Canis lupus familiaris: one gene and its partner. The protein of the gene in region 2 binds, or shares a complex with, the protein of the main gene of each other region. Links are inferred from orthologs where the notes say so. Each region holds a gene or a part of one and is shown on either strand. Other genes may lie near its edges.

What was found. The genes of interacting proteins can lie anywhere in the genome.
Region 1: the proteins of IFFO1 (region 2) and XRCC4 are in contact, whole or in part, in a crystal structure (PDB 6ABO), measured with the Homo sapiens proteins. The link is inferred for Canis lupus familiaris from reciprocal best matches to the Homo sapiens genes IFFO1 and XRCC4. Residues at the interface, in NP_001317253.1 of Homo sapiens: Arg469, Glu470, Tyr473, Ile477, Gln479, Ile480, Glu481, Glu483, Leu484, Ala487, Lys488, Asp490, Met491, Arg493, His494, Leu495, Tyr498, Met501, Lys505, Leu508, Asp509, Met512, Cys515, Arg516, Leu518, Ile519, Thr520, Gln521; in NP_001304941.1 of Homo sapiens: Trp155, Val158, Gln159, Phe162, Glu163, Cys165, Val166, Lys169, Glu170, Glu173, Leu176, Tyr177, Phe180, Val183, Leu184, Lys187, Lys188, Lys190, Ile191, Leu194, His195, Lys197, Leu198, Ala201, Ala202, Arg205, Glu212.

The regions. Positions count from the first base shown.
Region 1 is NC_049224.1:24,558,894-24,562,743, reverse strand, and holds part of XRCC4 (DNA repair protein XRCC4), read left to right. Parts: intron 1-1,869; coding exon 1,870-2,022; intron 2,023-3,338; coding exon 3,339-3,445; intron 3,446-3,850.
Region 2 is NC_049248.1:7,637,904-7,642,241, reverse strand, and holds the start of IFFO1 (intermediate filament family orphan 1), read left to right. Parts: upstream 1-1,302; 5' UTR 1,303-1,352; coding exon 1,353-2,125; intron 2,126-4,338. Other genes in the region: NOP2 (probable 28S rRNA (cytosine(4447)-C(5))-methyltransferase), read left to right, coding at 57-712. UniProt on the Homo sapiens protein: Nuclear matrix protein involved in the immobilization of broken DNA ends and the suppression of chromosome translocation during DNA double-strand breaks (DSBs).

The DNA.
Region 1 (3,850 bases), on a different chromosome or scaffold from region 2:
AGTAATGTGGAAGGTCTAGTAACATCATAATGCTGTAAGAGAGGACTGGCATTAAAAATGAGATGGGAAGGATGCTATGTACTTCTTAGTTACTAAATGTTTAAGAGAAGAATAGTGTTCTCCAAATTGTTGATAAGTTCATAATTGAGAATAAATTTTGTACTCTTCACAATAATACTCTGTGCCAGCCAACCCCCGCTCCCTAGCTTTGTCTATAAAGTGTTATCCAGTTTGATAATTGGAAGTTTGGTTGAAAGAAAATCTTAAAGGTTTGCTAAAACCAAGCACGGTTAAGTCATAGGTTGACAGTTATTCTGTTGTTTGTTCTTCTATCACAGACATGTTACCTTCGACAGTGTAGCTGTGATTAACTGTATTCTTTTTTTTTTTTGATTAACTATATTCTTTAGACAAATTATATAATATTGTATTTTGATATTTTCATTTTTGTCCATGTGTTGTATCAAATGTTAATTTTAATAAAGGTTTTGAAATGTGCTTGTTAGTTAAGTGCACATAATCTTTCAATTAATAATTATTGAAGTTATTTAATGGAAATTAAAATACATTTAAATCAGGTAAGTAACTAATTGGTTACTGTTCCTAAAATTTTATATAATATCCAAAATTTTTGTTGTACATTTTTATAATTGGTTTTTTACTTTGCCTTTGAATAAAGCATCTTATAGTATACTCATGTATATTCTATTCAGCTTTTAAAATTTTTGTTACTATGTTACATTAGAAAATAGTACAAGAAGATGAGATACAATGTTTATATAACATTTCACATCTGATATAAAAATGCAGTGAGTGATATGTCCCTGCCTAAAATAAGCCATTGATATTGGCAGCCCCTCTTCAACTTTGGCTCTGCTTTATTTCCTCATACTTTTTGGTGTACTTCTTTCTCAAAGACATTTTCTTGATGAAAGGAGTACTGTTATATTAATATTTACCACAGTTTTTTTTTTTCAGAAGCTGAAGGAGATGAAAAATTTTGCTCTTACAATGGTAAATAGCTGTCAAAGGAATGAAAAATATATTCAGAATCACTGATTCTCCATTACCTTATAAGATGTCCATATTAACACAATTAATTTTTCTAATAGCTACTCCACACCTGTCAAATGCCAAACGCTGTCTTAGGCAGTAAAGATAAAGCAGTCAATAAAACACATCTGCTCTCCGCATTTATAGAGTTCACAGCCTGGCAGTGATTCTACTATAAGGGTATTGTAATTGCTCCCAGAAAATATACTGTTTTTTGTTCCTTTTCATTCCATAAGAGGCCCTAATTCTTTGTATCTCTAGATAGAAAGGTTGTTGAAAGCACAGGGACATATATATCAAAGGTATCAAATTTTGACATTTTTGTTTATAATTTTTCAGTGAAAAATTATATATTTAAACATATCTACATAAATACATATATAATGAAAATACTAGAATACCTGTGTAGAACAACAGAAGTATAAAAAGACTACGTTTAAAAGAATACATGAAATAATTTATCTTTGAATTGTTAAAATACAGATTTATTTATGGTTTGTGTGTGTGTGTGTGTGTGTGTGTATATATATATGTATATATATATATATGTATATATATATATATATATATCTTTTTGGGCATTATTTTCCAATATTGATCCTTACCTCACTACGTAAATTACTAACATTGATAAACAATAAATTCTAATTGTTTAATTATCTGTGTAAAACTTTAAATCAATGGAAACCTGTAAAAGTGACTTTTAATTATATTTTCCTTGAAAAGTTTTCTTGAAATAATTTTCAGTATTGGATTGAATAATATTAATACTAAGAAAAACTGGATGATTCATTTATTTGTTTATTTACATTTTAGATTTGAAAAATGTGTGAGTGCTAAGGAAGCTATGGAGACTGATCTTTATCAACGCTTTATTCTGGTGCTGAATGAGAAGAAAGCGAAGATTAGAAGCTTGCATAAATTGTTAAATGAAGTTCAAGAACTAGAAAAGAACATTGAGCATGAAAGGTATTTTGAGTTGTCTGTTTTGAGATGGCAGATACATAAGTTTAAAGGGAATTTTCCCCCAAACTTAATGAAAGTTAGATGCCAGCTTTTTAGTAACATGAGATCATTTGCCAGTCTGAAGTTGAATGCTCTGGCTGTTGGATGCCCTGGGCTGGAGAATTCTCAGCATGATCTCTCTATGTCTAGCTACTGTCATAACTACACTTGAATCCTAAAACTGGAGTATGGTTTATCTAAAGTATTATTTATGTAATTCTTAGACATCATTAAAAGTAACAAAAACTGGGCAGCCTGGATGGCTCAGTGGTTTTGCGCCACTTTCAGCCCAGGTTGTGATCCTGAAGACCCGGGATCGAGTTCCACGTCAGGCTTCCTGCATGGAGCCTGCTTCTCCCTCTGCCTGTGTCTCTGCCTCTCTCTCTCTCTGTGTGTGTCTCTCATGAATAAATAAATAAAAATTAAAAAAAAAAACTTTTATCTTCTGCTAAGCTGCAGGATTGGCACATTTGTAATCTTGGTGTCTGAGTAGTGGTTAATTTTAGAATCAAGTGGCTCTGGGAGTGGATATGTAATTGATTTTTAAGGAAAAATCACAGGTTACTTACACCTTGTATGGTTTGGACAATTATAATTGTTAGAGTCTGATTTTTATTTTATTATTTTATTTATTATTTATCCACTTAATTATTATAGTGGATACAAGTTTGGATCTTGTGTCCTGAGTCTGAGAGAACACACAGGCTTATGAAAGGCATCATCTGAAGAATATAATATTTGATGTCAGATAGTCCTAGTTCAAGTGCTGTCTGGCACTTGATATCTGTTAGTATATGACTTTGGGCAGATAAGTCTATGTTAGTATATGTCTTTTGGGCAAGTAAGAGTTCTTTAAACTCTCTGTGCCTTACTTGGTATCTTCATAATAAGATGAAAGTTACCTCTCTGAGAATTTGGGGCCAATCAAAAGCAGGGCAAAACTATTGTAGATCAGTAAAATACTGAACACATTGTGATCCATAGAAAATAATTTGGAAGCATAGTATTTTTATAGATGAATAATATGATAAGAAACTGATTTAACAGTTAATTACAGTGAGCACTAAACCACATTTAAATTAGGTAGAAGAGAAACTTATTCTTAAGAGAGTTAACATACAGTCTTTAAAGTGCTTTCATCTTAATTATATATATTTCAATATATGTTTGTTTAACTACAGTATTTTTCCAGGGATATTTTTTATTATTACTTACTGGTAAATTTGATCCCTAGCCCAGGGTGAACCAATAATTCATAATTCAACCTTTTCTGTTTCTAGGGAAACCACAGCGTGTTCTGAAATGACAGCTGACAGAGATGCAATCTATGATGAAAGCACTGATGAGGAAAAAGAAAAACTGCCTAATCCCTCTGTGTCGGCTCCAGGTAATAGAAATACATTCATCACCTTTGTTGAATATCTCACTTGGGCTTATTATTGTAAAGATAATAAACCGTAATGAAAAATGTTATGAAAAAAGTCTTCTACAAAATTCTTTAGGGTTTTTAGTCTAAAACCTAGAGTATTTAATGTTAAAATTAATATTTATTATAAAATGCAGCAACTCATAAAACAAGCAAGTATGCGTACAAACATACACACCCAGGAGTACTATTCCTTATTAAAGAAGGGTGCATAATGAATAGGGAAGATATGTGTTCGTGATAGTTATCTTCAGCTAAAAGCTGGCTGCCTTTAACATGTAGATCTTACCTAGCTAGAGCTCTATGGGTGGGTAAGGTGATCCAGAATGCTTCAGATTGTCTTGAGGTTGAGCCTTCTTTCATTAT
Region 2 (4,338 bases):
TCAGGAACCAGTGGTGAGGCCCATTTTCTTAAACCACATGTTTCATTTTAACCTAGGAAATTCTGCAGCTTCCACCCCTACAAGCCTAGACTTGCCTGAGGTGAAGGGCCAGGTGACCCCCAAACCTGAGGGCAGCAGCCAGCCTGCCAAGAAGGCCAGAGTGGCTATGAAAACAAAGCAGCAGTTGCAGAAACGGCAACATCCCAAAAAGGCCTCTTTCCAGAAGCAGAATGGCATCTCCAAAGGGACAGACTCAGGATTGTCCACTGTATCTTGTGACACAAAGTCCCAAGCTTCTTCCAAGCTCCAGGACAGCAGTCAGCCAACTCAAGAGATCAGGGGACCAAAGGTGACTAAGAAACTAAAGCAACAATCAGCTACGCTGCTATCCTCCAAGAAGGTTGCCTTCCGGAAGCCGAATGGCCCTCCTAAGGGCACGGACACAGAAGTGCCTGTGCTATCCCTTTCCAAGACCCAGGACACACTCAAGCCTGAGGACTGGGTTCAGCCCCTTAGAAGCACCAGAGGGACCAAGAAAGTAAAGCAGCAGTTGCCAGCACAGCCTTCCAAGAGAGCTGCCTTCCGGAAACAGAATGGCACCCCCAAGGGACCTGAGACTCCCGCCATGTCCCCCCTTGATTCCAGCCAGCCCCCACCAGCAAAGAGGAGAAAATCTCAGTCCAGAGGCAGCAGCCATCCAGTGTTGTCTTAGATGAATGGCTGGTACTAGACTGGGGTGGCTTACTGCTGTTGGCACAGGGTTGGAACTCTTAACCTCTGTGAGGCTGGTGTCCCCACTGCGTATGAAATCTAATACACATTTTATAATCTCTGGCCACTGTGTGTTTTTTGAGGGGACTGGGTACTGGCTTTGTTGCTTGAAGAGTAGTGGCGGGAGGGTGGGGCAGGGCCCCTCTGAAGAGAGAAAATAATGTAGTCTACTGAGAAATGAGTTTCAGGCTCTTGGGCTCCCTGTCTCCTCAGGGGCTCAGGGTCTGGAGTCAGTTTGGATTCTGGGGAGAGGAGGGCAATGGGGGTGTAGAGGGGATGGGCATCCTGCCAGAACCCATGGAGTAGCAAGGGACCTGGATTTTCTTCCTCTGTGCCACCCTGGCTTGAAGGCATGGACTGGGGTCCGCCAGCCTCAGACCCGGAAAGATCCCGGTGCCAGCCTCCAGCCCGGCCGTTCATTGGCTTCCTCTCTCCCCTGCCCCGCCCCCGTGACCTCTGCCCCTACCGCCGGGCCGTCTGATTGGTTGCCCCGCGTCCGCCTGGCGCCTCATTGGCTCTTCCCCCTCGCCCTCCATCCCTGCTCCTGTAGCGGTGTCCGTCTCCCAGCAGAAGACGCCACCATGAATCCGTTATTCGGCCCCAATCTCTTCCTCCTGCAGCAGGAGCAGCAGGGCCTGGCCGGGCCGCTGGGGGACCCTCTGGGAGGCGACCATTTCGCCGGGGGAGGGGACGTGTCCCCGTCGTCGCTCGCCCCGGCCGGCCCGGCTGCCTACTCGCCGCCCGGGCCGGGCCCGGCCCCCCCCGCCGCCATGGCTCTCCGCAACGACCTGGGCTCCAACATCAACGTGCTCAAGACCCTGAACCTCCGCTTCCGCTGCTTCCTGGCCAAGGTGCACGAGCTGGAGCGCCGCAACCGGCTGCTAGAGAAGCAGCTGCAGCAGGCGCTGGAGGAGGGTAAGCAGGGCCGGCGGGGCCTGGCTCGCCGCGACCAGGCCGTGCAGACCGGCTTCGTCAGCCCCATCCGGCCCCTTGGGCTGCCCCTGAGCGCCCGGCCGGCCGCCGTCTGCACCCCGTCGGCGCGGGTGCTTGGCTCGCCCGCGCGGTCGCCAGCCGGCCCCCTCGTGCCCTCCGCGGCCTGCCACTCGTCGCCCTCCACCTCCACCTCCACCTCCTACTCCTCGTCAGCCCGCTTCATGCCCGGCACCATCTGGTCCTTCTCTCACGCCCGCCGGCTCGGGCCGGGACTGGAGCCCACGCTGGTGCAGGGGCCTGGCCTGTCGTGGGTGCATCCCGACGGGGTGGGCGTCCAGATCGACACCATCACCCCCGAGATCCGCGCGCTCTACAACGTCCTGGCTAAAGTGAAGCGCGAGCGGGACGAGTACAAGCGGAGGTAGGGGACCGGGAAGGTGGGGACCGGGCTCAGCGTCATGCCACACATGGGGCCAGGACGAGGTGTGGGTGCTGGAGAGGACAGCAGTGCGGCCCAAGAATCAGGGAGGAATAGGAGAGTAAAGTTCCTGCTGTGTAAGGAGGAGCTTGGAGGTAGACAGACGGCACTGGGTACAGGAAGAGGGGAATCCACAGGGAATGCAGAAGTCGCACTCGTGACAGGAAGAAGGATTCTCTAAGCGGAGGATTGTGGGGAATACATATTTTTCTTGTGGCTTTTCTTTCTGTCTCATCTAGGCTGCAGTGTTTGGATGACTGCGTTAACTGTGGGGTCGTGTGCTGTGTGAAAGGGACACGCGTTTGAGTGGTCACATCTGGGGTACTAAGCCTCTCCAGGCGCAGCCCTCAGAGCAGTTTTGTGATAGAGGCTCCACATACTGATCAAAAGTAAGAGACAAAGCATAGAGCTTTCATTTGGGAGTCTAAATGAAAATAGAAGGGAGTGGTAAGGGAGGGGCTGCATCTCGGAGTGGGCGACCCTGCCACTGCTCTGGGTTTCCCAAAGCAATGTCGATGGAAACTGGGAACTTACCCCAGTTCCATATAAAAGGCTCTGGGACCCCAGAACGTTGCTCAGAGTAAGTAAAAAATAAAATAATAAAAAAGAAAAGAAAAGAAAATAATAAAAGAAAACAGAAAACAAGGGGGAAAAGGAATTTGCTAGGGAAGGGGGAAAGGACTGGTAGTTGTCACAGGACTTGTGGAAGCTGGGGGAATCTGTGAAAGTGCAGAGAGCCAAAGGATGACGAAATGTGAATGAAGCCAGCAGAGGAACCGAGTGGGGAAAAGTTGAGAATATGGACACACCCTGTGAGTATAAGGCAGCTGGGGGCCAGGCCCTGTGCTGTCTGAGGAAGACGATTTGGGTTTTCTGCAGGGGACTGGCAGGGTAGCACAACGGGCCAGGGGAAGGGATGTGATGCTAGTGCTGGCTGTATATCAAGTGGATCCCTTAGAGGGTTGATAACCAGGCCATGAGGAAGGAGCATGAACACAGCCAGCCCTCTGTAGACTTCGTGAGGGATGCCATGGTTGAGAAGGAAGATGACATGTCAGCAGGAGGCTTTATTTTGGGAGCCATCATGGTTAACCTCTTAATTGACTACTCTGACCCCTTGTGGGCAAGCCTGGGAACTACCCTTGCAGCCCAGTGTAGCTGAGATTGGTGTCCTCTGGGGCTTGGCTAAATGCTCCCAGAGATTACCCCAGGGTCTGGGGGCAGCCTTCAGGGATCTGTAACCTGCCAGAGTCTAGCAGATTGCAGACCAGCAGGCTTTCTGAGGTTGAGTCCTGTCCTCATGCTGGCTTCCTTCATCGTAGCCCGTGTTATAAGTGCCTTTGGGAGTCTCAGTTCTCCTAAACCATTCTCTCCATTATTCAGATGCCACCCAGAACCAGCCTGCCCCAGCCCCTGGCCCAGCCCCAGCACCTGCCCCTGCCCCTGCCCTTGCAGGAATTAATTAACATTGCCAGCAGCAGAACACGGACAGTTCTGGAATGCACCCATAACCACAGAAACAACTGCTGTTCTCGGGTATTTGTTTTTTCTTAACTGAAAGAGTGTTTGTCCTTGGTCCAGCTGTCCAGGGCAGCAGAGAGTTATTCCTTGGGGATTGATGAGCTCATCGCTCTGCAGCACGCTGCTGTGCAGAGGGCCCTGCAGCTAGAGTTGTCTGGTACGTGACACTGGCAGTTACTCGTTCCTCCACCCCAGATCCTGTGCCCTCGTTCTGTTCTCTTTAAAACAACACTGAAGCTCCTATCTGTGGCCTGGAAGGCATGGGTAGAGCTTTAGCAGTAAACTGTGAAGAATCTGAGGCCTCCCAGGTTCTATTTTCAGCTACCCCCTGCTGTGTGCAACCTTGGGTGGATCTCTCCTGGCCTCAGTTTTCCAGCATAGGAATGGCCCCTGCTTCCTCACTTTGCTCAAGGATACCGTTTATTTGGGAGGGAAGTCTTTAGTAAACATAGAATTCATGGAAATGGCTCAAATTCTACCCATGTCGAGGGAACTTTGTGAGACCAGATTTGAATGGAGGTTGGAAGGAACCTACTCGTGGGAAAGTCTGGCTGGAGAACAGAGAATTCTAGTAAGCGTCCAGGGGCGCCTTGGCTGGCTCAGTCAGAAGAACACGTGACTCTTGACCTCAGGGT